Linked DNA regions of Elephas maximus indicus. The protein of the gene in region 2 interacts with the protein of the main gene of each other region in a pairwise test. Links are inferred from orthologs where the notes say so. Each region holds a gene or a part of one and is shown on either strand. Other genes may lie near its edges. The genes, in order: SEC23IP and SSC5D.

Region 1 (15,172 bases), on a different chromosome or scaffold from region 2:
GGGTAGACGTATGAGCAGAAGTCTGACCAAGGAAGCTGTCCTCCTCACCGACATCCGTGGAATCCTCTAGAAAAGGAGAGCAAATGGTTCAAAGTATACTCCCTGCATCATTCTGTGGATATGAGTTCACAAGGCGGATCTAGCAATTTTACCTCCTAGTTTTACCAACTTGTATTTCTGTACTACAGAAAAAACAAATGACAGTTAAAAAGAAAAACTACAAAATATGGATAATAAAAAAACAAAAGGAGGGAAAATTACAATTCACTCATAAGCCCACCTCCCAGACTATTAACATTTTGCACTAACCCTCTCATACTTTTTTAATTAGTATTTCTATATAACCATAAAAAAAAGATGAGGCTTATTACAATAGAAACAAAATCTACCCCTACTATATTTATAAATTATTTTTGAATGCTTTTTTTTTTTCCTGGTAAGAAATAATACAAATGTTATTCCACTACCTGAATAGACATAAATTTCTTTCTAGAGTACGGACAAGAAACTGGAGTACGGATGTTAACTCTACAGACAAGAAGGGGTGTTGTCAGGGCTCTCACCTACAAAGCACTTATTGTGCAAGTGAATACGTGGTATTTGCATTCCCAAGGCAAAGTGGGTCAACCACTAATTGCCAACCCTAAAATCACACAATACCACAGGTGGACATTAGTCGTTACAGAATGTCAAATACCTAGAAATGTCACCTGGGGGTTCTCTTCATTTCTCTTTCCCCGACTTAATCGTCACCATGGGTATCATCAATACTGAAGTATTTATTGTCTGTTCCAATCCCAAGTTATAAAACATGTATTTTTCCTTCTTGGCAGCCTGAAAAGTCCACCTCACTTTTAGGAGCGCTTAGTTTGTTTTAACTTTCACCCTCCTCCTCCTCCTCATCTTGTCCTTCTCATGACTCATTCCCTCTTATCTGCTGGTGGCATGCGGTCCACCAGCAGGCTGGACTCAAGCCCAGCACACAGGTACTCTATGGTTCCTGCCCTTGAAGACCAGCCAGGGGATGTCTGCTTTCAAGCTCCCAGCTCCTGCTTGACTCTGCTGAAGGAGGCCACTAGGAAGGAAGATTCTGGCTTGTGCTGCTAGGTTGCTCCCATTATATCTCACACACATCAAGTGAACTAAGATCCGCCACTATTCAAAATGTTCCTCTCTGTTGTTCCTTTGGAACGGAAATATCTCTTCCTGCACAAGCTTGTATCAGTCAGTCTTCCACTTCCAGTGCATACCCTCTCTGTTCAGTCACTAGAACCTCGTTTGGGCTCATCTGTGGTTCTTAGTTCGTCCCCCAACCATTACAAGCGTAGGAAAAAAACCTCTGTGACATCTTTCATCCTATACAGAAAGATCAACCTGATCCAAGACACTTTTTTTTCTGACTGGCATCAATTACAAATGAAATACTGGTCTCAACATACCATTAGCCTCACATCAGGGGCACTTTCTAATTATACACCAACACATACCACATCTAACCACAACTTTAATCAGCACCTGTATGCTCTGAGACACTCCCAACTCTATCCCCGACCTAAACTGTTCTCATGTGCTCCAAATCCTACTTTCCACCTACTTCCTCAGCATTCCTGACAGACTCAGCCACATATGCCTCAAACTTAGCAAGCCTAAAACTGAATTTAGCATCCTAACTGCCCCCACCCCATCTGCTCCTTTTACCACATCTCCCTACCTCAATGGACGTTTGCCGATATGCACCCAGACACTCAAAGCAGGAATCTCCAGTCTCTCAGATCTCCTCCCTCACTCTCACACCCTTCATTTAGTCACTCAGATACTCATTCAGGAAACACTTATATGTGCCAAGCATGGCGCTAGGTACTGAGGCTTAGACGGAGCAAGGCAGAAGGGGCTGCTGTGCTTAGAGAGCTGACAGTCTGGCCTCTACTGACTCATTAAGCCCCAACAATTTTATAGTCTAAAATCTCTCACACCTGCTCCCTGTTCCTCAGACCCAATGAGGCTGACTTGGGGCCAAGTGCTGTCTGCTCCTGCCTGACTCCACAACAGCCTCCAGACTCCAGACCAATCTTGCCACAATCAGCCTTACTCCAGTTGACCTTATTCTCGTGCAACCCATTCTCCAGTCTCTCTGAAACAAACCGTGAGTATCACTGCGTTGTTTCAAATCCTTCGAAGGCTCCTCCACACGTACAAGATGAACTACAGACTCCTCAGTATTACCATACTACCAGTGAGGCCTTAGTGATTCAGTCCCCATCTGCCACATGAGCTTCCCCTTGCAAGAGCCACGCCCCTAAACAAACTCCAGTCACATGGATGTACTTGGAGAGGGAGAGGAAAAGGAAAGAGGAGGGGGAACGTATCTGTGTGTCACCCATCCCTGTCCATACCATCCACCACCAACTCCCAAATCCGCAGACTTTTACAAACACTGTCTCCTAGGCTCCCTAATTTCTATGCATCCTTCAGCACTCAGCTCAAGCATCAGTTCCTCAGCAGGTTCTGAAGGCCTAAGGAAGTCCTCACCCCGCTGGCCAGCCTGAGACCACAGCTTTCACAGCAGTCTTTCAACTCCCGTGTAGCTGCTATCAACTGCCCCGTGACTGCCGACACAGCGGGGTATGTCTGTACACCCGTACACCGCGCGGCCCCTGAGGGCAGGGCTGTCTGCTCTGCTTTGTCTCCCTAGCATCTATCACAGGGCCCAGCAGATGGAAGCTGCTCGATCCATGTGTGCTGAACGAAGGAAATTGCTTCCTATGCGTCTCTTTCAATGATAGGATTAACTGTTGCTTCCAGTGAGACAGGGTCTTCTTTTGTCTCTGGAAGTTTCCTGAATGGCTTTCTAACTATGAAACCCCTTTTTTTAGAGATGGAAAAATACCTGTTGCAGAATTTTCATTCTAAAATCTTGTAATTTCCTCACAAAAATACAAGCTCTGTTTCTAAGAAACAAGAGTTTTAAAGCCAGTTATGGCAGTTATCCACATAGCTGACAATGAAAATGTTTAGCATTAGTAGAAAGCAACACACACGAATATGATATAGCAAGGAAAAGGGGTATGAAACAAGACAACGTTTGTGAAGCAGAAGGATGATGTGAAACCCCAGGTATGATCTTCCTTCTTCCTGCAACCTCCCATGGCATTCTGCTCCAGCCAGACTGGTCCTTCGCCGGAAAGGCAGTGCCTGAAGGCAGACACGATGCCAAAGCACAACATACGTATTTCTGACTCCTGTCTTTCCATTTGTTCAACAAATATCTATTGACTAACTGGTCCACGGTTAGCACGCCAGGTACTATTCTAGGCACTGGGGAAGGAAGAGTGAATAAAACGAAGTCCCTGCTCTCATGAAGCTTACATTCTAGTGGGATAAAACAAACAAATCAATGCAAATGTCAGGTGACAATAGGCACCAAGAAGAAACAACACAAGAGAAGTGGACCTTTCATGTATGAAGGGGAACCCTGATGCCCCAGTCTGCTTCTCCTCACTTCTCTAGGAAACTTTCCCTAGTCCTTCAAGCAAAAATAAATTATTTACTGGTACATTCAGCATTTACTGAGGATCTATGTGCTGGGCACTAAACAAAATACTAGAAATAAAAAGGTAATTAAGTCAAAGCTGCAAGCTTTAAGAAGTCCACAGTTGAAATGGGAAGGTAGACAAGTTTATCTTACAAACACTATGTAACACTATGAGCCAGGTAAGACATTGCTTTACAGAAATAATTTCTCATTACAGCCCTGTGAGTCTGCACATATATGGAAACTGAAAGCACAGAGAGGTAAAATAACATGCCTGGGGTCACATAGCAAGTTACTGGCAAGGCCAGGACTAGAATCCAGAAATTCTGTGCTCCTACACACTATGCACTGGTTATGCCAAATAATCGTTAAAAAAAGCCATCACCTTAAACTCATTGCTCTCGAGTCCATCCTGACTCATAGTGACCCTCTAGGACAGGGTATGCATGCGAAAGCTGGACAATGAATAAGAAGACTGAAGAACTGATGCCTTTGAATTATGATGTTGACGAGGAATACTGAACATACCACGGACTGTCAGAAGAACAAACAAGCCTGTCTTGGAAGAAATACATCCAGAGTGCTCCCCGGAAGTGAGGATGGGGAGACTTCATCTCACGTACTTTGGACATGTTACCAGGAGGGACCAGTCCTTGGAGAAGGACATCATGTTTGGTAAAACAGAAGGTCAGCAAAAGAGAGGAAGACCCTCAATGAAATGGACACAGTGGCTGCAACAATGGGCTCAAACATAACAATGATTATGAGGATGGCACAGGACCGAGCAGTGTTTCATTGTTGTACACAGAGTTGCTGTGAGTCAGAACCAACTTGATGGCACCTAGCAACAACTGGACAGAGCACAACTGTCCCAAAGGGTTTCCAAGGCTGTAAATCTTTACAAAAGCAGACTGCAACCTCTTTCTCCTACGGAGTGGCTGGTGGGTTCGAACCACCAACCTTTCAGTTAACAGTTGAGCGCTTAACCACTGTACCACCAAAGCTCCTTGCAATCTCTATAGACGATAATAAAGATATGAACAAAGAGGAACAGGAACACATAGGAGTGAGGGCCTAAGCGAACAACAAAAAGTTTCTTAGCAGAATATATTGTCTTGGAAGATGAAGAATGCATTCTGTATTTCTACTTTGCAGATATTACATGTCTGTGCCTCTCTTCTAGGAGCCCCGATGGCACGGTAATTAAGCGTTCAAATGTTAAACCAAAAAGGTGGGAGTTAAAATCCACCAGCTGCTCTGTGGGAGAAAGATATTGCAGTCTACTTCTTGAAACCTCGTGGGACAGTTCTACTCTGCCCTGTAGGGTCACTATGAGTTGGAATTGACAGCAATGGGTTTGGTTTTGGGTTTGGTCTGTCTCTCTTCTAGATCGTGGGCTCCCGGGGGAGGGGCACTGTTTATCTGCATCCCCTGGCAGCATCTCGCACACTGTAGGTATTTGCAGTGCGATGGATGGCTTTTATATGGTCTTCCTCACCACGGTCTCATAACTTTCACCAAAAGACTGGGTGGGACTATGAAAATTAGTGCTTGCGGCCCACCAACGGGATTGGACAGCTTGCTAATAATGTAAATAAGATGCATGGCATCCTTGTGGGGGTGGGACCATGCAAATAAGGTGTATGGAATCCTAACTAGGGTATTGGTCCGTTTTGCCATCCCACTAGGCTTAAAAGAGAGCCTTTCCCAGAGCAGAGAGGGTACCTTACTACCACGAAGAGGCCGGAGCAGAGCGCGCCCTTTGAACCTAGGATCCCTGCACTGAGATGTTCTCAGACCCAGGAGACAGAGACAGAGAGCTGTAGCACCGAATGGCAAGACTGTGAGAACCAGCAGCACAGAAACAGTGGCAGCAGGAGCAGCAGAACCAGGAGACTGGCAGGAGGTTTGCGGGCTCATCCCACTGAGCAAGGGAGCTGACTGCCTCAGGGCAGGAGGCTTCGTGGCAGAGTAGGGTGCTTCCGGGCACTTATCAACAGAGCTAAAAGAGCTTTGTAAGACTTGCCTGAGCACAGCAGAGGCCAAGGGGCCGAGAGGGGCATGCCTGTGGGTACGGCTGAGCAGAGGCTGTCCTGATAGAATTGTACCCTGAGCATTCCTGAACCTAAATTGCAACCTGTTAACCAAAACCCCTTGATTTCGACTTATTGCGACCCGGTAAGACAGAGTAGAACTGTCCCATAGGGTTTCTAAGTAGAGGCTGGTGGATTTGAACTACCAAGCTCTTGACCACTGCGCCATGCCATTTTTACCGTATTCAAAAAAGATCTGTGGAATGCGAACTCTGGACAAGTCGGAAACGAGAGAGGGTTCCTTCCTCGTCACTCCACGCCCTCCTTCCTTCCCCTCCACCACACACACACACTCGTCCCAGGGGATCCTCCCCTCCCTTTACTACCTCCTGGCAAGAGCAAGGAAGCCGGGGAAGCTGCAGCTTGGGTGACTGGGATGAAGGGCACGTTGAAGCTGAACTCCGTAGCTGAGGAGGAGAAGAGTAAGTTGGTGCCCGACGAGGAGGTGGAGGAGCCACCACCGCCACCGTTAGGTTTCCTTTCTGCCATGGTTGCGGCCCACCGTCCGTTACACGTCGCCGTGTAGCCGGTGCCCACCGCCAACCGGAAACCAGTCACACTCGGGGCCGACTCACTTCCGCACTTGCGCACGGGCGCCGGAAATCCCGGCGGCTGGTCAGCGGCCCTCCTCCTTCACCTAGCGGGCGCCGCCAGAGATCAACATGGCGGCGTGGCCTTCACGCCCGAATCTTGCACGTGACACGCTGCACGACTGCCGAAGCAGGGTGGAGCTGTAGGGCCAGGGCCGGGGCCAGGGCCGGGGCCAGTGCAGGAGCGTGGGAGAGTGAGCCTTGCCCGTACTGAATCAGTGCACGAACTGGAAGTCACGGATTGCCAGGGACGCGCTGGGCTTCCTGTACTAACGGGAGTGTTCAACTGGCAAAGGTTTTGAAGAAAGGGCGGAATGCCGCGGGTGGCAGATTGCTGCCAGCCCTCTGATGGCAGAGGAAGAGGGAGGATTGTTGGCAATTCGCAACAAACTACGAGCCAAACTCACCCACTCTTGCACCCACATGTACCTCGCCCAGGAATAGAAACTGTAAAGCTTTAGAAGTTTTTAAGCCGTAAAACCAAACCCACTGCCGTGGAGTCGATTCCAACTCAGCGACCCTGTAGGACAGAGTAAAACTGCCCCATAGAGTTTCCAAGGAGCGCCTGTCGGATTCAAACTGCCGACCTTTTAGTTAGCAGCCATAGCCCTTAACCACTACACCAGCACGGTTTCCTTTTAAGCCATAGGGAGAGAAAAATTGTTTAAAAGAGAAACCAGGTGGTTGAAATTTAGGGGGAGGGTGTGACTTTTTAAATAGCTTTGTGTATAAATTTTTTTGTATATAAATCTACACAGTAGTTTGGATAATTCAATCCAAAGTGGATTGTGAATAACTTGGATCTAATTGTTATCTTTCATATATTTAGAGATTAACCCATTGCCGTTGAGTCGGCTGCGACTCACAGCGACCCTATAGGACAGAGTAGATAGAACTATTAATAACAGATAAGCAGTCTTTCAGCTTCTTGGAATATGGGGGGAAGAAGCTCAAAAGAGACCCCCAAGAGAAACCTTGAAATAATGAGACTTTCCTGGCTCTGGCCCCAACCCCCCCCCCAAGCTGTTTGCATCTATATAGAACCTAACTTTATTCATTAATTCTGTAACTAGCATGCTTTTTTGGGGGGTGGGGAGCAATGTGCTAAACACACAGGATACAATGATGTGTAAGAGCGAGACACTTCCTTCCTGGAGCTTACAGTCTAGTTGGGAAGACAGACAACTAAGCATGTATAAACAAATGTGTGGTGAGTGTTATACTGTAGAATTTCCCAAAGTGTGTTACATGAAATACATCATGAGGGGAGGGAGGTATAACCCTTCCATAGGGTGAAGTAGCAAATATTCTGAACAATCAGACCATCAACAAAGAACCTACCTAGTCTGGGATGACATGAAAGCCTTTCCTGAAGAGGAAAAATTGAAATTGAGACCTCAAAGATAAAGAGTTGAAGTTAACTGGAAAAACTTAGCGGGGTGGGGTTATAGGAAGAGGTAAGAGACCATTTCAGATAAAGGAACAGTATGCAGGGTTGTTCTGAGACACCATATTTGGATTTCAAGAGAAACAGAGGTATAGTAACGGCTGGAGACAAATAAGCTTTTGAGAAAAAGTTGGGAGATATGGATGAAAAGTAGACAAGGGCCGGATGGTGCAGGGTCTTATAGGTTAAGAGCAATAGGGAACCAATAAAGGATTTAAGGGAGGGTAGAGAAATAATCGCAGGAGGAAGGTATGGCAGTCTGCATCTGCAAAGATTACAGCCTTGGAAACCTTATGGGGCAGGCAGTTCTACTCTATTGTATAGGGTCTCTATGAGTCAGAATCAACTCGATGGCAATGGGTTTGGGTTTCTTTTTTAAAGAGGAAATAATATTTGTTCTGTAGAAAGTTCATGCTGACTTCAGTGTGATAAAATGGTTAAGAAAAGAGCAAGCCTATACGTAGGAAGAGCAGTTGGCCAGCTGTTGCAGTGGACCAAGTGAGCAATGATGATAGTTCAAATTGGAGTGCTTGCAGTAGGAATAAAAAAACAGGAGTAACTTCTGGGGAAAGATGTCAGATTGAACAGATGAATCTTCATTGCTTCCTCTTGACACCATGCTGAAAGCACAAATATGGATTTCTTTTTTAAAAGCATAAACCCATAAGGATGAGGAGAATGGGAGAGGATTAGATAGCAACAAGATTTTGGAAGCCACAAAAAAGATAGACACGTTGTAGATAATTTAGCAAACCAGAAGTGGGGTAAGTCCAAAGGCAACTTGATCTGCACCATACCGAAAAAAAAAAAAACAAAACATTGCTGTTGAGTCAATTTCCACTCATAGCCATCTACACCATAGGCTTATGACCTGATGGCATCAGGCCCTTCTAGAAGTAGCAATGAATCTGCAGAGAGATTTTCAATACTTAGGAGAATTGGTTGAAAGTCTGTTTAAGAAGGAATCGGGTCCTCTCCTCAACTCTGTGTAACTGGACTACTGACTATCCACCTCCTTGGAATAATACTAGGCTTTTTTTTTCTTCCTTCTGGAGAGGGTAAAACAGATGTAAGATTAACTAAGTATGTACTTACTGAATAATGGAACAATTTCTTCCCCAATCCTCAGCCTGATTTCCCCATTTGGCTCCAAGAACACTAGCAGCTAGGTCTTCAAACTCTGGGCAGGAGATTGGAAGACACTTCCCTGTAGAATGGGAACAAAAGACCTAGAGATATTGAAATCAGGTTTTCCCAATAAGAATGGCTCAGCCAAATGACTCCATAATTAAGTTCATAATAAACAAGCCCTGCTTATACGCTCTGAGTTCCCGTCATTTTAGTCTTCATAGACTTCAAATATGAGCAACCAAGGATTACCACATAGCTGAGAAAGGCCTTTAAGATGAAAGACCAAAGCAAGACAAAAGGAACAGGAAATGGCAAGTTAGAAGAGATAGAACCCACGCAGGAAGAACAAAAATTAATTTTTTTTAAAAAAACTATCGATAGTATCCTCAGAGGAATAAAAATTTACAACCAAGAAACATGATCAGTGTGCTATTAAACCAAAAAAAAAAAAATTCAGGGAACAATAATATTCAGGGAACAAAAAAGAAAGAGTTAAGTATCAGTAGAAGAGTTAGGAGACAAATATAGGGAAATTTTCCAAAAAGATGGAAAACCAAACCAAACCCGTTGCCATTGAGTCAATTCCAACTCATCGTGACCCTATAGGACAGAGCAGAACTGCCTCATAGAGTCTCTGAGGAGCACTGGTGGATTTGAACTGCCGACCTTTTGGTGAGCAGCTGTAGCTCTTAACCACTACGCCACCAGAGTTTCCGAAAGATAAAAACTAGAAGAGAGAAAAATAATAGAAAAACTAGAGTACCAGGCAAAGAAATACAATATCTGGATAATAAGAGTCCTCCTAAGAATAAAGAACAGAAAAAATGTAAGGAAAAACAAAAAACAATTTTTTAATTCCCAGAAATGAAGGACATGAGTTATCGGATTGAGAGGTGTGAGTACCCAGCACAATGGCTATAGACAGGCCTTTGTGGCAGGGGCTGAAGCTTGCCAACAACCACACGAATGAGCTTGGAATCAGACCCCGTTTGCCCCAATAGAGTCTTCAGAAGAGATCACAGTCCTTGCAGATAGTTTGAACGCATTCTTATGCAAGACCTTGAGCCAGAGGTACACAGATAAGCTGTGCCTAGATTCCCAACCCACAGAAACCTTGAGATAATAAATGTTTGTGATTTTGGGGTAGTTCATTAAGCAGCAATAACTGAAACATACTTACTATAAACCTGTTGCTGTTGAGTCAGTTCCAACTCACAGCAACTCTCTAGGACAGAGTAGAACTGTCCCCATAGGGTGTCCGAGGCTGTGGTCTTCACAGAAGCAGATAGCCACAACTCTCTCCCACAGAGCCTCTAATGGGTTCACACCACCAGGCTTTTGGTTAGCAGCCGAGCACTTAACCACCATGCCACCAGGGTTCCTTACAGTTACTATAGTTCTGGCCCGTATTTATTGACCACAGTTGTATATGTGTAAACTACCATATTGCATAACGTTCAGAGATACCATAGAATTTTACAAGACATAGAAAAAAAATAAATAACCACCTAGTGTTCTGAATATTTCTAATTTGTGTACTGAAAGTAAGAAAATAATATTAAATCAATGAACTAAGAGCACATCTTATATTGTCCTTATTATGGCAACACCAGTCTCATTCTAGAATACATGTCTATCTCCAAAGAGCTCTATAATTACTGTAATTTTCTAATATGAGAATAGTTGGGAAGAATTGCTCTATCTCTGCCAGAGTGATGTTTTTATAATGTAAATCAAATCACATCATTCTCCTGCTCAAAATTCTTCAATGGTTTTCCATCGCACTTATAAAAGCTAAAGCTCTTCGCGTAACTCTTAAGACCTTCATGGTCTGGCCCCTACCTACCTCTCCTGCTTCATGTATATCATTCTACCCCTAACTCATCAACATGCCAGGTTTTCGTAATCTTCACACCTGGAGTACTTTTCCTCAAATGTCCAAATGCCCATGGTCTCCACTCCTGGCACATTATCTTCCATCTTCCAGTCGGCTCCTATGGCTTCATGGGGAGTTCCTTATGATCAGTTGACTTACAGATGGTTCTGCGTGATATGCAGACACCACTGGAAGGTGGACAGCGGCCACACTACAGTTCCTTTCTGGGACCTCCCTGAAGGACAGGGCGAAGGGAGATCCTCCCAATGGGCAGAACGTCAAGCAGTGCACCTGGTTGTTCACTTTGCTTGGAAGAAGAAATGGCTAGATGTGCAATTGTATACTGATTCATGGGTTGTGGCCAATGGTTTGGCTGGATGGTCAGAGACTTGGAAGGAACATGTTTGGAAAATTGGTGACAAGGATGTATGGGGAAGAAGTATGTGGATGGACCTCTCTGAATGGGACAAAGAAGATATTTGTGTCTCATGTGAATGCTTACCAAAGGGTGACCTCAGCAGAGAAGAATTTTAACAATCAAGTGGATAGGATGACATGTTCTGTGGAAACCAGTCATCCTATTCCCAAGCCACTCCCATCATTGCCCAATGGGCTCATGAACTAAGTGGCTGTGGTGGCAGGGATGGAGGTTATGAATGGACTCAGCAACATGGATTTCCACTCACCAAGGCTGACTTGGCTACAGGTGAATGCCCAACCTTTTAGCAGCAGAGACCAACACTGAGTCCCCAATATGGCACTACTCCTCAAGGTGATCAGCCAGCAACCTAGTGGTAGGTTGATTACCTTGGATTGCTTCCATCAGGGAAAGGGCAACGTTCTGTTCTTACTAGAATACACACTTACTCTGGATATTGATTTGCCTTCCCTGAGTGTAATGTTTCTGCCAAAACTATCATCCATGAACTTACAGGATGCGTTATCCACCATCATGGTATCCTATACAGCATCACCTCGGATCAAGGTGCTCACTTCACAGCAACTGAAGTGAGGCAATGGGCCCATGCTCATGGAATTCACTGATCTTACCATGTTTCCCCAACATCCTGAAGTAGCTGGCTTGATAGAATGATGGGATGGCCTTCTCAAGATACAATTACAGTGCCAGCTAGGTGGCAATACCTTGTAGGGTTGGGGCAATGTTTTCCAGGAGGCTGTATATGCTCTAAACCAGCCTCCAATATATGGTGCCCTTTCTCCAATAGCCAGGATTCATGGGTCCAGGAATCAAGGGGTGGAAATGGGAGTGGCACCACTCACTATTACCCCTAGGGGCCCACTTGTAAAACTTTTGCTTCCTGTCCCTATGATCCTATGCTCTGCAGGACTAGAGGTCTTAGTTCCAAAGGGAGGACTGCTCCCACCAGGAGACATAACACTGATTCCATTGAACTGGAAGCTAAGAATACCACCCAGCTACTTTGGGTTCCTTATGCCTCTGGATCAACAGGCAAAGAAGGGAGATACATATTGGCTGATGTGATGGAGCCCAATTACCAAGAAGAAATCAAATTAATAATACATAATGGAGGTAAAGAAGAATACGTCTGGAATTCAGGAGATCCTTTAGGGCTTCTCTTAGTACTACCAAGCCCTGCGATTAAAGTCAATGGAAAACTACAGTAACCCAATTCTAACATCACTACTAATGGCCCAAACCCTTCAGAAATGAAGGTTTGGGTCACTCCACCAGACAAAGAACCACACCCAGCTTAGGTGCTTGCTAAGGGTAAAGGGAATACGGAATGGGAATGGGTGGTGGAAGAAGGTAGTTCTAAATAGCAGCTATGACCACGTGATCAGTTGCAGAACCAAGGACTGTGATTGTTATGAGCATTTCTGCCTTGTATGTGTGCATCAAATATGTTTATTTTCTTCACTTATAAAATGCAGGATGCAAACACGGCTAGTGAGTTTTTGGTTATACTGTGTTAGTTGTATCATGTTAGGTGTAAGTATGACACTATAATTGTCTTTATTTAGAGATTGTACAGGTGCCAAGTTGTGTACAGGTGCCAAGCTGGCAAGGGGTGGACTGTGATGATTAAGGTTGTATGTCAACTTGGCTGGGCCATGATTCTCAATGGTTTGGCAGTTATGATGTAGTTTGGCAGCTATGTAATGATGTAATCACCTCCATGAGAACTGATATAATGTGATCACCTCCATGATGAGATCTGCTGTGAACAGCCAATCAGTTTAAAGGGAGTTTCCTTGGGGGTGTGCCTTGCATCCAATATATATGGGCTTTCTGCAATGCTTGTGGGCTTTTGCTTGCTCTGAATCCTCCATCTGGCTTCTGGTTCTTGGAACTTGAGCTAGCAGCTTACCTGCCGATCTTGTGCTCATCAGCCCCTGCAGTTACGTGAATCAGGAGAAGCCTCTGGCCTGACCCACGAACTTGGGACTTTCCAGTCTCTATAACCACGTGAGCCATTTTCTTGATACAAATCTCTCTATATATACATACATATGTATATTATATATGTATAACAAAACCAAACCTGTAGCCATTGAGTCAATTCCAACTCATAGCAACCCTATAGGACAGAGTAGAACTGCCCCATAGCGTTTCCAACGAGCAGCTGGTGGATTTGAACTGCCGATCTTTTGGTTAGTGGCCGAACGCCTAACCACAGTGCCACCAGGGCCTATACGTATATATATATATATATGAACCCTAGTGGCCCACTGGTTAAGAGTTTGGCTGCTAACCAAAAGGTCAGCTAACCAAACTCTATGAGGCAGTTCTACCCTGTCCTATAGGAATGCTATGAGTCACAGCTGACTCGACGGCAGCTAGTTAGATAGACAGATAGATGATAGATTGATAGATAGATATGCTTCACTGATATCTTAATTATCTAGTGTTGCTATAATAGAAATATCACAAGTGGATGGCTTTAAAAAGAGAAATTTATTCTCTCACAGTCTATGAGGGTAGAGGTCCAAATTCAGGGTTACAGCTCCTGGGGAAGAATTTCTCTCTCTGTTGGCTCCGGGGGAAAATCCTTGTCATTAACCTTCCCCAGTTGAGGAGCTTCTCTGTGGAGGGACCCCAGGTCCAAAGAACACTCTTGTCTCTTGTTTCTTGGTAGTATGTGGTCCCCAGTCTCTCTGCTTGCTTCTCACTTTTATATCTCAAAAGAGGTTGGCTTAAGACACAATCTAATCTCATAGATAGAGTCCTGCCTCATTAACATAACTGCTGCTATTCCCACCTCATTAACATCGTAGTGGTAGGATTTACAACACATAGTGAAATCACATCAGATGATAAAACGGTGGACAATCACACAATACTGGGAATCATGGCCTAGTCATGTTGACACACATTTTGGGGGGACACAATTCAATCCATAACAAATGGTTTTGCTGCTCTGGAGAACCCAGCCTAAGACAGATGGTATCTCCTTTTTTTACCCCAGTACCTCCAATGCCCTCAGTAATTACTTATGGATGAAAACCGAATGAGCTCATTGCCAGGAGAGAGTAGAACTGCCCCACAGGGTTTCCAGGGAGCAGTTGGTGGATTCAAACTGCTGACGTTTTGAACGCTTAACCATAGCGCCACCAGGGCTCTTACTTACAGATAAAAATCAAAAACCAAATCCATTGCTGTCAATTCTGACTCATAGCGACCCAACAGGACAGAGTAGAACTGCCCCACAGGGTTTTTAAGGAGCACCTGGTGTATTCGAACTGCCAACATTTTGGTTAACCACTGTTCCACTTAACCACTGCCACCAGGGTTTCCTACTTATAGATGGCATGGCCTAATATCCTCGCAACATCCCTAGGTGGCTCAAATGGCTAAGCATTCAACTACTAGCCAAAAGGTTGATGATTCAAACCCACCCAGCGGCGTCTCAGAAGGCAGGCCTGGCGATCTGCTTGTAAGATGTCACAGCCTTGAACACCCTATGGAGCTCAGTTCTACTCTGCACACATGGGGTTGCCATGAGTCGCCATCAACCCAACAGCAACTAACAACAACACAGTGTCCTTTTTAAAAATAATAAACCCTTCAGGTGAGATGAAAGTGTTGTTGCCGGTGGTGGGATTTAAAAAAAAAAAATCTTGACATAGAGATGTATTCTGTAGACCTTCCTGTAGCCTTTTACATTTTTCCAAATCCTTATTATTAGTATCAAAATGTCTCATCACAAAAAATCTAGAGGGTGAACTTATTCGCATTACAAAATAATTACATTTTGGAAGGATCACAAAACCAGTTGCCATCTAGTCAACCCCAACTTGTGACAACCCCATTTGTGTCAGAGTAGAACTGTGCTCCACAGGGTTTGCAACGGCTGGTTTTTTCACAAGTAGGTAGCCAGGCCTTTCTTCCCAGGCACCTCTGGGTAAACTGTTACCTCCATCCTTTGTGGTTAGCAGTGGAGCATGTTAACCATGTATACCACCCAGGGAGAGATTCCTCAGAAAGATCACAGTGTCCTTTTAAATCAAATCTGAGCAGTT
Region 2 (15,212 bases):
GACTGTGATCCTTACAGAAGCAGACTGCCACATCTTTCTCCTGTGGAGCGGCTGGTGGGTTCGAACCCACTGACCTTTCTGTTAGCAGCCGAGCACTGTTATGCCACCAGAGCTTCTTCCAGGGCTCCAGAAAAACCCTGTGGAGGAATTCTACTATTGATAACATGTGGGGTCACCGTGAGTCAGAATTGACGCGACATGATCGGGTACTAAGAGGAACGTGGGGATGTGGGGAAACCCTGGTGGCGTAGTGGTTAAGTGCTACGGCTGCTAACCAAAGGGTCAGCAGTTCGAATCTGCCAGGCGCTCCTTGGAAACTCTATGGGGCAGTTCTACTCTGTCCTATAGCATCGTTATGAGTCAGAATCGGCTCGATGGCACTAGGCTTGGTTTTGGTTTTGTGGGGATGTGGGTAGGGGTGGAGGGTGCACAGCTGGCAGGGTCTGCTGATTGTAAATCCTGGTGGGGTCTTGGGACTTGTGGAGTTGGGGCAGCAGCAGGAGTGAGCTAGAAAGATGGACAGTGTTGGAGAGTAGGATGGGTGAGGTAAAGACCAGGAAGGGTTTCAGCTGTAGTGAAAAAAGGTTTAGGGTGTAGTCATGGAGGACAAGATCTTTAGAGGAGGGAGGGGGCCAAGGAAAGGAAAACAAGGTAATGGAAAAATACCCCCTTCACCTTCTGCAGACAAACAAAACCCAAATACTTTGTGGTTGGTGACCCCACGTGCTACAGAGTACAAGTGCTCCATAGGATTTTCTTGGCTGTAATCTTTGTGGAAGCAGATTGCCAGGCCATTTTTCTGCAGTGCCACTGAGTAGGTTCCAACTGCCAACCTTTAGGTTAAGTAGCCAAGCCTGAACTTTGCTCCACCCAGGAACTTTCCACTTTTTGCATGGACACACCTTACCTTTTAGGGGGAATGAGCAGAATCGTAAACGGAATGTTTGGCCTCCTAAAGATCACCCCAGAGCCCTGGAGGAGATGCTGACGTCCTAGGGTGGGTGACCCCATGCGTCCCTATTTGTCCCAGGCTTTTTCCCTTGTACACTACCTGGATGCTTGGCAGCACTAACCTGAAGGGAGACGCCCCGGAGGGTGGGCTGGGGAGGGCCCCTGACTCTTAAAGGGCCAGCATCCCCTCTGACTGGCACATCTCTGCCAGGTGTGATGGTCGGCTCGCACGTGGACATGGCACCTGCCTCCACCTCGGAGGGCGCCGGCGAGAAGCCGGGACCTGCTGCTCCAGCCCCAGCGGCGCAGTATGAGTGCGGCGAGTGCGGCAAGGCCTTTCGCTGGTCATCTCGACTTCTGCACCACCAGCGCACGCACACGGGCGAGCGGCCCTACAAGTGCCCCGACTGCCCCAAGGCCTTCAAGGGCTCATCGGCCCTGCTCTACCACCAGCGTGGACACACGGGCGAGCGACCCTACCAGTGCCCTGACTGCCCCAAGGCCTTCAAGCGTTCCTCGCTGCTGCAGATCCACCGTAGCGTGCACACAGGCTTGCGCGCCTTCACCTGCGGCCAGTGTGGCCTGGCCTTCAAGTGGTCTTCCCACTACCAGTACCACCTTCGCCAGCACACTGGCGAGCGGCCCTACCTGTGCCTGGACTGTCCCAAGGCCTTCAAGAATTCGTCCAGCCTGCGGCGCCACCGGCACGTGCACACGGGAGAGCGGCCATACACCTGCGGCGTGTGCGGCAAGAGCTTCACGCAGAGCACCAACCTGCGGCAGCACCAACGTGTGCACACGGGCGAGCGGCCCTTCCGCTGCGCACTCTGCCCCAAGACCTTTACGCACTCCTCCAATCTGCTGCTGCACCAGCGCACCCATGGTGCCGCCGCCCCTGCGACCACGCCTGCCCCAGGGACTGCCACTTCGGCCCCCGCCACCCCCCAGCACCGCTGTGAGCCCTGCGGCAAGGTCTTCGTTTCTGAGGCTTACCTGCAGCGGCATCTGCAGTCCCACGGCCCGCCTGTGCCCCCACCTGCACCCGCGCCAGCGCCGGCGCCCCCACCCCCGCCCGTGGTCCCCGAGCTCTTCCTGGCTGCCGCCGAGACCACAGTGGAGCTCGTTTTCCGCTGTGACGGTTGTGAGCTGGGCTTCGGCAGCGAGGAGCTGCTGCTGGAGCACCAGCCATGCCCGGGGCCTGAGGTGGCACCCCCGCCCCCACCCTCGGACACACCCGCCGCTTCTACTGCCTCCAAGCCAGACCCACCTCCGGCGCTGTCCCCACCCTCGCCCCTGCCTGTCTCGGCACCAGCCACAGCCCCCGGCTTCGCCTGCCTGCCCTGCGGCAAGTCCTTCCGGACTGTGGCAGGCCTCTCGCGCCACCAGCACAGCCACAGCACAGCCAGTGGGCAGGCGTTTCGCTGTGGCAGCTGCGACGGGGCCTTCCCACAACTAGCCAGCCTCCTGGCACACCAGCAGTGCCACGTGGAGGAGGCGGCAGCTGGGCGCCCGCCCCCCCAGGCCGAGGCGGCCGAGGTCACCTGCCCACAGGAGCCGCCGCCACCGCCCACTGCGGCTCCGGCCGAGCGGCCCTACAAGTGCGCCGAGTGTGGCAAGGCCTTCAAGGGCTCATCGGGCCTGCGCTACCACCTGCGGGACCACACGGGTGAGCGGCCCTACCAGTGCGGTGAGTGCGGCAAGGCCTTCAAGCGTTCGTCCCTGCTGGCCATCCACCAGCGAGTGCACACAGGCCTGCGTGCCTTCACCTGCGGCCAGTGCGGTCTCACCTTCAAATGGTCCTCCCACTACCAGTACCACCTGCGGCTGCACTCGGGTGAGCGGCCCTACGCATGCGGCGAGTGTGGCAAGGCCTTTCGCAACACGTCATGCCTGCGGCGCCACCGCCATGTGCACACGGGTGAGCGGCCCCACGCCTGCAGTGTGTGCGGCAAGAGCTTTGCGCAGACCTCCAACCTGCGGCAGCACCAGCGCGTGCACACAGGCGAGCGGCCGTTCCGCTGCGCACTCTGCCCCAAGACCTTCACGCACTCCTCCAATCTGCTGCTGCACCAGCGCACGCACTCTGCCGAGCGCCCCTTCACCTGCTCTGTTTGCGGCCGTGGCTTTGTCATGGCCGCCTACCTGCAGCGCCACCTGAGGACGCACACCCCTGCCAACCCAGCCCCCAGCCCCAGCCCCACCGGTCCCCAGCCCCCAGCCCCGCTGGCTGCTGCCCCACCCGCCACCCAAGACGTTCACGTCCTCCCACACCTGCAGGCCACACTCTCCCTCGAGGTAGCAGGGGGCACGGCCCAGACCCCGCCCCTGGGTCCCGCTGCACCCAACTCCCAGACGTTCCTCCTGGTGCAGACAGCCCAGGGCCTCCAGCTGATCCCCAGCAGCGTCCAGCCCTCCACCCCTCCGCCCCCACCTGCGCCTCCCAAGCTCATCTTGCTGCCTCCTCCCAGTGCTAGTGGGTGCGGGGGCCGGGCTAGGCAGGGCCAACGTGCTGTGGGGAAACCCGGGCAGGGGGCTGGTGTGGTCTGGCTGCCGAGCCCTGGGGGGCTGGGGGTGCAGGGAGGAGCCAGCCCTGGGGCCAATGGGGGAGGGCAGAGCCTCATAGTTCTGCAGAATGTGGGGGGTGGGGATGCAGGGGCGCAGGAAGTGAGCGGGGTCCAGCTCCAGCCCCTCCGGCCAGCCCAGGAAGTGACCACAGTGCAGCTGCAACCGGCCCAGGAAGTGACCACGGTCCAGCTGCAGCCGGCCCAGGAAGTGACCACGGTCCAGCTGCAGCCGGCCCAGGAAGTGACCACGGTCCAGCTGCAGCCGGCCCAGGAAGTGACCACGGTCCAGCTCCAGCCGGCCCAGGAAGTGACCACGGTCCAGCTCCAGCCCGTGGCGGGCCAGCTCACCAGTCCCGGTGGGGGCGCCGTGACTACGGAGGCCCCCAACCTGCTGGTGGTTCAGAGTGGGGCAGCGGAGGAGCTGCTCACAGACCCCGGCCAGGGGGAGGCGGGTGACGGCGAGGCCAGCGCCGGCGTAGTCCAGGATGTCCACTTTGAGACGCTGCAGACGGACGAAGGGCTGCAGAGCGTCCTGGTGCTGAGCGGGGCGGATGGCGAGCAGACCCGCCTGTGCGTGCAGGAGGTAGAGACCCTCCCTGCCGGCCTAGCGGAGCCACCTGCCCCGGGCCCAACCGGACAGAAACTCCTCATCATCCGCAGCGCCCCAGCCACTGAGCTGCTGGAGAACAGCGGCGTCGGGGGCGGTGGCACCACGCTGCAGCTCCTGGCCCCACCTCCGCCTGGGCCTGCGCCCGCCCCAGCAGGCATCCCCGCGGCGCCCACCCCCCAGATGGTCCAGGTGGTCCCCGCCGGGGCCGGGGTCCAGCAAGGCGTGCCCTCCATCCAGATCGTGCAGACCCTGCCCGCGGTCCAGCTGGTGCACACATTTTGAGGACACTGACTGGTACTTCTTCCTGCTTCAGAGCGAGACCCCGGCTCTGTCCGTCTTGGCTGGGCTCCGGAGAGGGAGGGGCTGCAGCCTGAGTTTGCTAATAAAGATCGAGAATCTCTTTCCCTTTTTTTTCTTTGGGGGGCGATTGAGGCAAGAGAGGAGAAAGGGGCAATGTCAAGGTCAAGGCGGCAGCCTGCGAGCTCCGACTCTCCGGGTCTGCAGATGACTGGCTTTGCGCTTTGGGGCCAGTTACTTCTATGTGGGTTCAGTTTCCCTGTCCTGAGAAAAGGGACGCATTGGTAACTATAGGGGGAAGGTTGGAGTCAGAACCCTGGTTAAGCCACTTGTAAGTCGCCCCGCCCTCCCCTCATCTGAAAAACGAGTGGGTGGGAATTCTCACCCCTAAGGGACCGCGAGGCCAGACGCCCAGGCTGAGGCCCTTGGGCATGGGAAGGGTCGGCCCCCGCGGCCTGGATGCTGACTGCGACCCTGGCCCCTCCTGCGAAGGCCCGCGTGCCAAAGAGAATCGATTCACTAGCAACACACACGCACACGGCGCTCACGTTGCCTAGCAACTAGGGGACGTCTCGAAGTGAGCGTGCGTTCACCCTCCGCGGGCCTGGTAAGTAGAGCTCCCCGCCCCCACGGCATCTGATCTCGCGGACCCGGCCGGCCAGGGCCAGTGTCCAGGGCCGTCTCCCGATTGCTCCTTCTCCGGGGACCAGAGAGGCCACCCCCCGGCAGGATCACCGCTTCCTGACGCTGTCCCTCAACCCCCGGGAGTCCAGCGCTCTGCCCTTCCGGACACTTGGCAACCGTTGCTAAGGCCGAGTCAGGCACCGCCCGCTGCACCCCCCCCAGCTGCAAGAGTTTACGTCACTTCCGCCGGCGACCCCTTTCCGACCCTGTTCCCCCGCCCAGGGCTGTCAAGGGATCTCATCTGCCCTGCAGAGGAGCTTGGCAGGTGCTCGCTCCTGCGCCGCGGCAGGGGCGCTGCTAGGTGCTGTCCGAGAGGCAGTGGTCCAGTTCCTGGCTGGGTCCCCCAGGGCGGCCCTGGCACCCGGGAGGGCGCCCCGGGGTGCGAGGTGTGGATGTTCACAGGGCATTTAGGGGCAGATCGCTGAGTACCACGGGGGTGGGGCCGGGATCACTGGAACTTCAGAAGGGTCACAAGGTAGATGGGGAGCTTGACCTGCCGTGTGGCTCACTCGGGGGCCTGGACTCTAAGTCGTGGAGCTTCGGGCCGGACCTGGGTCACTAATGAAACGATCCCTGTCCTTGGAGGGGGCGGAGGCTTTGGGGTGAACAGAGAGTGGAGAGGGGCGCCCGCTTCCGCTGACTGTCTTGTGTTCCTCAGGTGCACGCCTGCTCCCTCAGGGGCGCGGGGCTCGGGCCCGGGGGCAGCCATGGCCCCCGGCCACCTATCGGTGAGGGAGATGAGGGAGGACGAGAAGCCCCTGGTGCTGGAGATGCTGAAGGTGAGAAGCCGCGAGTGGTCCCTGTGCGCCCGGGCCGGCGTGGAAGAGGGTCCCGCCACCCCTCGCCCTGCAGCCTGAGGCCCTGGGACCCCTGGAGGAGGGGGTTCTTTTCCTCCTCGGTTACTTCGTAGCTGGGCCCCTTCTCTCTCCAGTGCCTTCTCCACCACACCCAAGGCCCAGCCACCCCAGAACCAGGACGATGTGGGGCCAGACTGCGGTGCAGCTTCCTCTCAGCCTTAGAGTCTATGGCCCTACGTGCCACCCAGAACGCATTGGGTCTGGTCAAAGCACAGCCTCGTACCCCAGCCAGGCAGGCACTCAGGACCTTCCCAGCCTTCCTGCGCATCCCCCTACTGCAGCCTGGGACAGTTGTGTGTCCTCTCTACCTGGCATATGGTCCCCTCCCAGAATCCAGTCTGCCTTTCAGGGTCATTTCCCAGGGCCTCAGTCTGGCCCCCTGGCTGAGTGGGTGCCACCATGGCTCCTAACTCATGTATTCATTCATTTGCTCATTCATTCATTCACAAACTCCTTCACTCGTCTGCTCACTCACGCATTCATTCATCCATTCATTTATGAACTCATTCATTCATTCACCCACTCATTCATGCATTCGTTCCCTCATTTATTCACAAGCCATTCATTCTCCCACTCATTTATTCATGCATCAATTCACTCCTTCACCCCTAATCCACTTACTCTTCATTCACACTCATTCATACATTCATTCACTTACTCACTCATTCATTCATCACACATCCATTCATGCATTCACACATTTACTCATTCAGACATTCACTGATTCATTTGTGCACTCATTCATTCATTTGCTTTTTCATTCACTAACTCAGTCTATGCTCATTTACTTACTCAACACCCAGCATGTCAGACTCTGTTCACTGGTGACTGCAACACATGAGGTCCCTGCCCCTGCCTGTCTCTCTCCCACAGACCCCCTCATTTTCAAGCTCTTTGCCCCAGGTAGGACTGGCTCCCCTCTCCTAGTCCCTGGTGTGCATAAAGGCTGTGGCGTGATGGACAGAGAAGGCTCTGCTCCTGACTGCCCCCCTCCTACCCTCAGGCTGGCGTGAAGGACACGGAAAACCGCGTGGCTCTGCACGCCCTGACCCGGCCCCCAGCCCTGCTCCTCCTGGCAGCAGCCAGCAGTGGCCTGCGCTTTGTGCTGGCCTCCTTTGCACTGGCCCTCCTCCTGCCTGTATTCCTGGCTGTGGCCACTGTGAAGCTGGGCCTGAGGGCCAGGTGGGGCTCGCTGCCCCCACCGGGTGGTCTGGGGGGCCCCTGGGTGGCTGTACGTGGCTCGGGCGATGTGTGCGGCGTCCTGGCCCTGGCACCTGGCACAAATGCAGGGGACGGGGCCCGGGTAACCCGCCTCTCTGTTTCCCGCTGGCACCGCCGCCGGGGCGTGGGCAGGAGGCTGCTGGCCTTTGCCGAGGCCCGGGCCCGTGCCTGGGCAGGGGGCATGGGTGAGCCTCGGGCCCGTCTTGTGGTCCCGGTGGCTGTGGCCGCCTGGGGGGTGGCAGGGATGTTGGAGGGCTGTGGGTACCAGGCTGAGGGGGGCTGGGGCTGCATGGGCTACATGCTAGTGCGGGAGTTCAGCAAAGAACTGTGACTCACCTGCCCAAGGAGAGCTGGGTCTGGGTGGGAAACCAGCATTTAGTGAGCATCTACTGTGTGCCAGGAAGGTTCACTCCACTCTGTCCACTGCCCAATGTGGGTAGTGTTTGGACTTTGGTAGTGTGTGAACTTCTGAGAGTGGAATCCCTCCTTTCCACTCTTGGCTCTCTCTTGGGAGCCAACAAAGCTCAGCCTGTCCAACCCTCTGCCTCAGATCCAGCCTGCACTGAGAAATCTCCCCCCCTCCCATCTGTGCTACAGGCCTGGAAGAGAGATTGGGAGGGGAGAATGAGCAAGTATGCCCCCTAAGAGTGAGGCTTAGCAGCAGGGGCATGCTTCAATGGGGGTTTCCTGAGCATGCGTTGGGGTTTGAGGCCTGTGATTGGAGGGGACAGGGCTGCAGAGTGGGTGGGGAAGGTTGGTGGGGTTGAGCAGAGCCTTTGCAGGGAAGGGCTGTCTGCATCTCGGGGAGCCTGGTGGGGACTGGGGTGGTGGGGGGAGGTGCAGGGCTGCCAGGGCTGGACTGTCTGGGAAGCTGAGAACTGAGAGCAGTGGGCGGGCAGCATCCCCTCCAGCCTTCCCTTCAGACCCATCTGGTTTTTTACACTCATTTGTTAATAAAGCCCAAAACTGCTGTGTGCCCTACTCTGTCTCTGATGCCTTTTCCAGTCTGTCTTCAGAGCCCCCCTTCTGTCTGGCTCCTCCTTCCCCAAGTCGACATGAATTGTTGGTTGGGGGGGAGGGTGGAGGCTGCACCGGGAGAAGGGGAGGCAATGAGCTCACAGCGGCTCAGTCCCTGCCAGCCCTTCTGACTCACGAGCCCCATTACCGAATTTTTTCCACCTCACAGCTGCCTGGTGCAGAGAAAGAGAGAGAGCGTATATGTGTGTGAGTGTGTGGAGTTCTCACTCCCCCCACCCAAACCTTGGCCAAAACTGAGGTCTCCCCATACCCCTCCACTTCCCATTTCTTACTCATTAGAGTCATCTATATGCAACCAACCCTCCCCACAGATGCAGGAATAGGGATTTTGCATTCAAACCTACCAGGAGTAGGGGCCAGGGAGGAGGGAACTTGCTCAGTCTCCTTTCCTAATCTAGGAAGTCCTTCCTGGTGTCTGGCTGCAAGCCTGCTAGCTGCACCCAGCCCCAGATGTACCTGGCTCAACCTCCATCCCCTCCACTGTGGTCTGACCATCTTCCCAGGCTGGACAAGAGAGGAGGCAGGAGGGGGCTCCCCATCTCTGCCAGGCCCCTACATCCACCTCCATGCTGGCCCTGCCTGCAGCCTGCCACCCCAGGTCTCTAAGCCCAGGTCATTACTGGTTTAAAGCCTGGTTGGTTCCCGTGTGGGTGTTTGCAGCTTGGACACCCTCCCTCCCTCCCGCCCGCCCGCCCGCCAGCCCGCCAGCCACCCCCCTTCTCTCCACACCCCAGCCGCTGGCCAGCTCCCTCCCTGCCCCCCGCTGTCCCCTGCCGCCTCCTCGCAGCCTCTCTCTTCCTTCTGGAAGAGCGTCCAGCCCCTGCCTGCTCCTCCCTGGGTCCAGGGCGCCTCCAAGGCACTTCCCTCCTGTGGCTGCCTCCTCCTCCTTCCCCCCCTTCCCCTTTCACCCTGTCCCTGCCCCGGCCTCTGCAAACATGAGGGTCCTGGCCTGCCTCCTCGGTGAGTGACCCGTCCTCCTAAGGGACTCAGGGGTCCTGCGTCCTTGCCCTCTGACCCCTTCATCATCAAGTTCAGGGACTCAGACTTCCAGGACCCCAGTCCCTTGAGGATCCATCCTTCTTCGGGATGCCCAGTCTCTCCCTCCTGGGGACCCAAGGGACCTGGCCCCTCCCCTTGGCCCTGACCCTGGGGTGGGGACCACTCAGCCATGTGACCTTCAGCCAACCCCCTAGGGGAACACAAAGGACCTGGTCTCTAGCCCTGATTTCAGGCGCCAGGACCTGACTCTGATTCCAGCCCTCTGCAGTGGGGTTCCAGGTCTGAGATATGAGGACTCCGAGCGCACGCGCGTGCGGGTGTGCGCGTGTGCTTGTGTGTGTGTGTGTGTGTGTATACACGTGCGCACGCGTATTGGGATATTCCCAACAAAGGTCCCGCTATGCAGAAAGGACCCCTCTTGGGTGGGGCCTGCCCCTCACTCTTTCCCACCCGTCAAACCCCTTGCAGCCGCTCTAATGGGGATCCAGGCTGTTGGTAAGTCCCCAAACTCTTCTGCCATCTAGTCTTGCCGAGCTTCCAGCCTGCCCTATCGGCTTCACTTCATCCTCCACCAAAGCCCTGGCCACCCCCATCTCCACGTGACCTCTTGACTGGCCCTCCGGGGAACCACTCCCCCTGGGGACCCAGGTGTCCAACCTCTTCCCACCTCTCTCCTGAGTGCCCAGTTGTCTGGGTCCCCCAGTGACCAGCTGGCTTCCCAATTGTCCCCTGCATCCCCTACCCTCATCCTGCCCCAGGGCCTTGGGAGTGTCTCTCCCCGGGGTCAGAGCCTCCCCTCCGTCCCCAGAGCGGCTGCACCTGGCTGACGGCCCCCATGAGTGCGCTGGCCGGCTGGAGGTGTGGCATGCAGGGCGCTGGGGGACAGTGTGTGACGACGGCTGGGACCTGCGGGACGCTGCTGTGGCCTGCCGGGAGCTGGGCTGCGGGGGTGCGCTGGCTGCCCCTGGAGGTGCCTTCTTTGGGGAGGGCGCCGGGCCAGTGTGGCTCAGTGAGCTGGCCTGCCGGGGCAGCGAGGGGCGGCTGGGCTTGTGCCCCCACCGTGGCTGGAAGGCCCACATCTGCTCTCATGAGGAGGACGCAGGCGTTGTCTGTGCAGGTGAGGAGGGCTCCTTGGCTCTAAATGTCATCTGCCAGGTGAGGAGTCCCTGGCCCAGGGGTTATCTGCCAGGTGATGAGTACCTGGCCCCAGCTGACTTCTGCCAAGTGAAGGGTCCCTGGCCCAGGTGTCATCTGCAGGTGAGGGGTCCCTGGGCCCAGGTGTCATCTGTGCAGGTGAGGGGTCCCTGGGCCCAGGTGTCATCGGTGCATGTGAGGGGTCCCTGGCTCAGGGGTCATCTGTGCAGGTGAGGGGTCCCTGGTCCTTGTTTGGGGCAGCCTGTTCTCCAGCTCCTTCAGAGATGACCCAGGGACCCAAGTCCTCAGCCCCAGTAACTGAGGGTCCAGGAGTCCAGATCTCCAATCTCTAATCCCCTCAAAAGCCACTATCTCCCTCAGGGACCCCCACTTTACAAGTGGTAGCTTTGGAGCCCTGGAGGACAAGGTAATGGGCATCCCAGCCCCTGCTGCTCTCTCAGGGACGCTGTGCCCTCTTTACTGTCCCCTCCCCCTCACAGTTTCTGTTCTCTCCATAGGCCAGCGTGTGGCAGCAAATTCCAGGGAATCGGCCCCTCTTGTGGGTGGGGATCTGTGGCTGGGGCTGTCCAGGGAGTTCAGTCCAGGGCCTGAGGTGCCCCCCACGACTTCTGGTGAGTCCCAGGGCTCACCAACTAGCCCCGCCCCATGCTCTCCTGGCCTCACTGTGGATGGTCTCCTCCCAGCTCTGGGAAGTCCTCCTTGTGCCCCAGCTATATTTGGAGGCTGAGAAGGTATAGCCCAGTCCCCCAGGTGGACAGAAGTTTGAGCTCCTGACCTCATGGCTGTCTTCTCCCTTAGTCCCCCGCCTGGTAGGAAGCTCCCAGAACAGTGGTGGCTCCCGGAAGAAGAGCCCCCGGCCACCCAAGCAGGCCAAGTCCACCAGGGCTCCTGTGCTGACCACCGGGGCTGCCCGCCAAGGTAAGTCCTTGCAGGTCCCCCAAACTGGATGCCCTAGGCCCAGCTTCCGACACCCCTTGGGGATTCAGGAGGCCCAGCCCTGTCTCTCCCTCTCCCCACCACCTGCCCATTCATTTAAGTGACCTAAGTGTCTGACTTTTGGCACCCAGGTACCACCCCCATTCCTGGCTCTCTCCTTAATGGGCAGGTCTCATGCAGGACCTGATTCTGTCACTGGACAAGCCACTGCCCTCTCTGGGCCTCAGTCTCCCCAGATAAGAAATGAGGGGGTTGAATGTGCTTATCCCAAACTGTGGTCAGACAAAACCCCCAGGTCCTTATTGTCCTCCTAGGCCCCTCACAGTCCTTCTGAGTCCCTCACTATCCCTCTAGACCCCTCCCTGCCCCCCAGGCCCCTCCCCGTTCCCACAGGCCCCACCCTGTCCCCCCAGGTCCCTCCCCATTCCTCCAGACCCCTCACCATCTCCCCAGACCCCTTTCTGTCCCCCCACACCCCTCCCTATCCCCCAGGCCCTTACCTGTCCCCTCAGACCCTTCATTGTCCCCCCAGGCTCCTCACTGCCTCCTCACTCCCTTCTCATCCCCTCAGGTCCCCTGCAGTCTCCCCTGTCCCTTACTGTCCCTTTCCCACCCACTCCTCCATCCCCTAGAACGGTTGCGGTTGCGGCTGGTCTCAGGTACCCACAGCTGTGTGGGCAGGCTGGAGGTGTGGCATGCGGGACGCTGGGGGACAGTGTGTGACGACGGCTGGGACCTGAGAGACGCTGCTGTGGCCTGCCGGGAGCTGGGCTGTGGGGGGGCGCTGGCTGCCCCTGGAGGTGCCCGATTTGGCCCAGGCTCGGGGCCCGTGTGGATGGACGATGTGGGGTGTGGAGGCGGAGAGCAGGCCCTCCGTGACTGTCCTCGCAGCCCCTGGGGTCGGAGCAACTGTGACCACAGCGAGGACGCAGGGCTGGTCTGCACTGGTATGTCAGGGTGGGGATCCTTGAGGACACCCCCAGTCCCCAACCCTCTTTCCCTCTCCAGGAGGCTGCAAAGGTTTGCTCGGGTCTCAGCTCTGTTCCTCCTCCTTATGCCAGGGACCCCTCACCTGTTCAGGTGACCCCTGGGGCCAAGAGCTCCTCACCTGCTCTCCAACTCCCTCCCTCCTCATCCTCCTCTTGAGGAAATGAAAGGAGCAAGGGTTTGAAGTGTGGGCGCTACTCTCAGCCCTGCCCAGTGGTCTTGGTGAAGGACCAACTTTCCGAGCTTCATTTTTCCCAACTGTGTAATGGGGCCAAGAGTATCTGCCTCACATCATGGGCTGAGTTTGGAGGAGTCCTGCCTGCCCTCTGCCCCTTGGCTGGGCCATTAGTCTCCTAGGGCTGCTGTAACAAAATACTGCAAAGTGGGTGGCTCTAAAGAACAGAAATCTATCATTTCACAGTTCTGGAGGGTGGGAGTTCGAGATCAGGGTATCAGCAGTGTTGATTCGTTCTGAGGCCTTGGGGGAGAAACTGCTCCATGACTCTCTCCCAGCTTCTGGTACCTACAGACATTCCTTGGTTTGTAGCTGCAATGTCAATGAGATGGACTGGCACAATAGGCACAACCATGGACTCAAACATACCATTGATCATGAAGATGGGGCAGGACCAGACAACATTTCGTTCTGTTGTACATAAGGTTGCCGTGAATCAGAGCAGAGTCGATGGCAACTAACAAGTCAAGGCTTCAGAGAGGAGAGGGTTAAATGGTCAGGGAGAATCAAACCTCACTGAAGTCTTTGATGACGCTTGGTGCTTTACCAACATCTTATTTAATTCTCATGACAACCCTGTAAGGGAGATATTTCTGTTTTTCATTTATGCTCGAGGGAATGGGCTGAGCTGAAACTCAAATGCAGGTATGTCTGCCAAGTACACAGTAGGTATTCATTCCAATGTCAGTTTTCCTCTTTCCCTTCCTCTTCCCCTTGAGCATCAACTGACTTATGTAATTGACTTATGCAAGTGCTTCCTGTTTGCTTGTAGCCCCCTGGGGACCCGACCCAGCACTTTGGAACTCCATTGCAATTGCCCTTTAATTCTGTTCTTTTCTCTAGAGTACTGTTTCTTTCTTTCTTTTTTTTTTTGTAGAGACTATACACAACAAAACATACACCAAATTCAACAGTTTTCTACATGTACAATTCAGTGACACTGATCACACTCTTTGAGTTGTACAGCCATTCTCACCCTCCTTTTCTGAGTTGTTCCTCCATTAACATAAGTAAAGTCACTGCTCCCTAAGGTTCCTATCTAATCTTTCTGGTCACAGTTGTCAATTTGATCCCTTATAGATAGTTCTTAAAAGAGCATAATGCTCAAGGCAGACATTCTATACTAGTTAAGCTAAACTATTGTTTGGTTTAAAGAAGACTTCAGGGGATATTTTTGGTGTAAGGTTTAAAGATTATCTCATGGCAATAGTTTTGGGGGTTCATCTAGCTTCCATGGCTCTAAAAAGTCTGGAGTTCATGAGAATTTGAAATTCTGTTTTAGAGCAGTGGTTCTGAACTGGGGGCAATTTTGTCCTCCATGTGTTTGAGGTAGAGATAGATTCCATACTCCCCAATAACCCAACTCTTACCTAAGGATGACCCAATGGAAATATACCCTAAAACCAAGAAGTAGTTAAAATCTAGACCAGTGGTCTCAACAGGGGGAGATTTTGCCCACCCTCCATCCCTTCCACCCATGTTTTTCTAACAAATAAATCTGTCTTAGAGGAAGGACAGCTCCTTAAAAGTGAGGATGGCAACACTTTATCTCACTTACCTTGGACATGTTATTAGGAGGGACCAATCCCAGGAGAAGGAAATCCTGCTTGGTAAAGTAAAAGGTCATCAAAAAAGAGGAAGACCCTCAATGAGATGGCTGCAAGAATGGGCTCAAACATAGCAATGATTATGAGAATGGTGCAGGACCGTGCAACCTTTCGTTGTTATGGATAGGGTCGCTATGAGCTGGAGCCAACTCCATGGCACCTAACAACAACAACAGGGGATATTTGGCAACACCATGAGTTGGATGGACTCTAAGGCAACAACAACAAGAGACACTTTCTTTTTTTAATTAACTTTTATTAAGCTTCAAGTGAACATTTACAATTCCAATCAGTCTGTCACATGTAAGTTTACATACATCTTACTCCCATCTCCCACTTGCTCTCCCCCTATTGAGTCAGCCCTTTCAGTCTCTCCTTTCGTGCCATTTTTGCTGTCTTCCCTCTCTCTCTATCCTCCCATCCCCCCTCCAGTCAAGAGCTGCCAACACACTCCCCAGTGTCCACCTGATATAATTAGCTCACTCTTCATCAGCATCTCTCTCCCCCCCGCTGCCCAGTCCCTTTCATGTCTGACGAGTTGTCTTCGGGGATGGTTCCTGTCCTGTGCCAACAGAGGGTCTGGGGAGCATGGCCGCCTGGATTCCTCTAGTCGCAGTCAGACCGTTAAGTATGGTCTTTTTATGAGAATTTGGGGTCTGCATCCCACTGATTTCCTGCTCCCTCAGGGGTTCTCTGTTGTCCTCCCTGTCAGGGCAGTCATCGATTGTGGCCGGGCACCAACTAGTTCTTCTGGTCTCAGGATGATGTAGGTCTCTGGTTCATGTGGCCCTTTCTGTCTCTTGGGCTCCTAGTTGTCGTGTGACCTTGGTGTTCTTCATTTTCCTTTGCTCCAGGTGGGTTGAGACCAATTGATGCATCTTAGGTGGCCGCTTGTTAGCATTTAAGACCCCAGACACCACATTTCAAAGTGGGATGCAGAATGTTTTCATAATAGAATTGTTTTGCCAATTGACTTAGAAGTCCCCTCAAACCATGTTCCCCAGACCCCCGCCCTTGCTCCGCTGACCTTTGAAGCATTCATTTTATCCCGGAAACTTCTCTGCTTTTGGT

What was found.
Region 1: the proteins of SSC5D (region 2) and SEC23IP interact in binary tests that used the Homo sapiens proteins (3 or more experiments, as listed by UniProt). The two-hybrid records come from large-scale screens. The link is inferred for Elephas maximus indicus from reciprocal best matches to the Homo sapiens genes SSC5D and SEC23IP.

What each region holds. Positions count from the first base shown.
Region 1 is NC_064834.1:70,432,327-70,447,498, reverse strand, and holds the start of SEC23IP (SEC23-interacting protein), read right to left. Parts: upstream 6,191-15,172; 5' UTR 6,115-6,190; coding exon 5,952-6,114; intron 67-5,951; coding exon 1-66. UniProt on the Homo sapiens protein: Plays a role in the organization of endoplasmic reticulum exit sites. Specifically binds to phosphatidylinositol 3-phosphate (PI(3)P), phosphatidylinositol 4-phosphate (PI(4)P) and phosphatidylinositol 5-phosphate (PI(5)P).
Region 2 is NC_064829.1:91,524,592-91,539,803, reverse strand, and holds the start of SSC5D (soluble scavenger receptor cysteine-rich domain-containing protein SSC5D), read left to right. Parts: upstream 1-9,041; 5' UTR 9,042-9,157; coding exon 9,158-9,182; intron 9,183-9,689; coding exon 9,690-9,716; intron 9,717-10,029; coding exon 10,030-10,338; intron 10,339-10,873; coding exon 10,874-10,987; intron 10,988-11,174; coding exon 11,175-11,294; intron 11,295-11,944; coding exon 11,945-12,259; intron 12,260-15,212. Other genes in the region: ZNF628 (zinc finger protein 628), read left to right, coding at 1,168-4,407; NAT14 (probable N-acetyltransferase 14), read left to right, coding at 5,814-5,885, 6,967-7,515.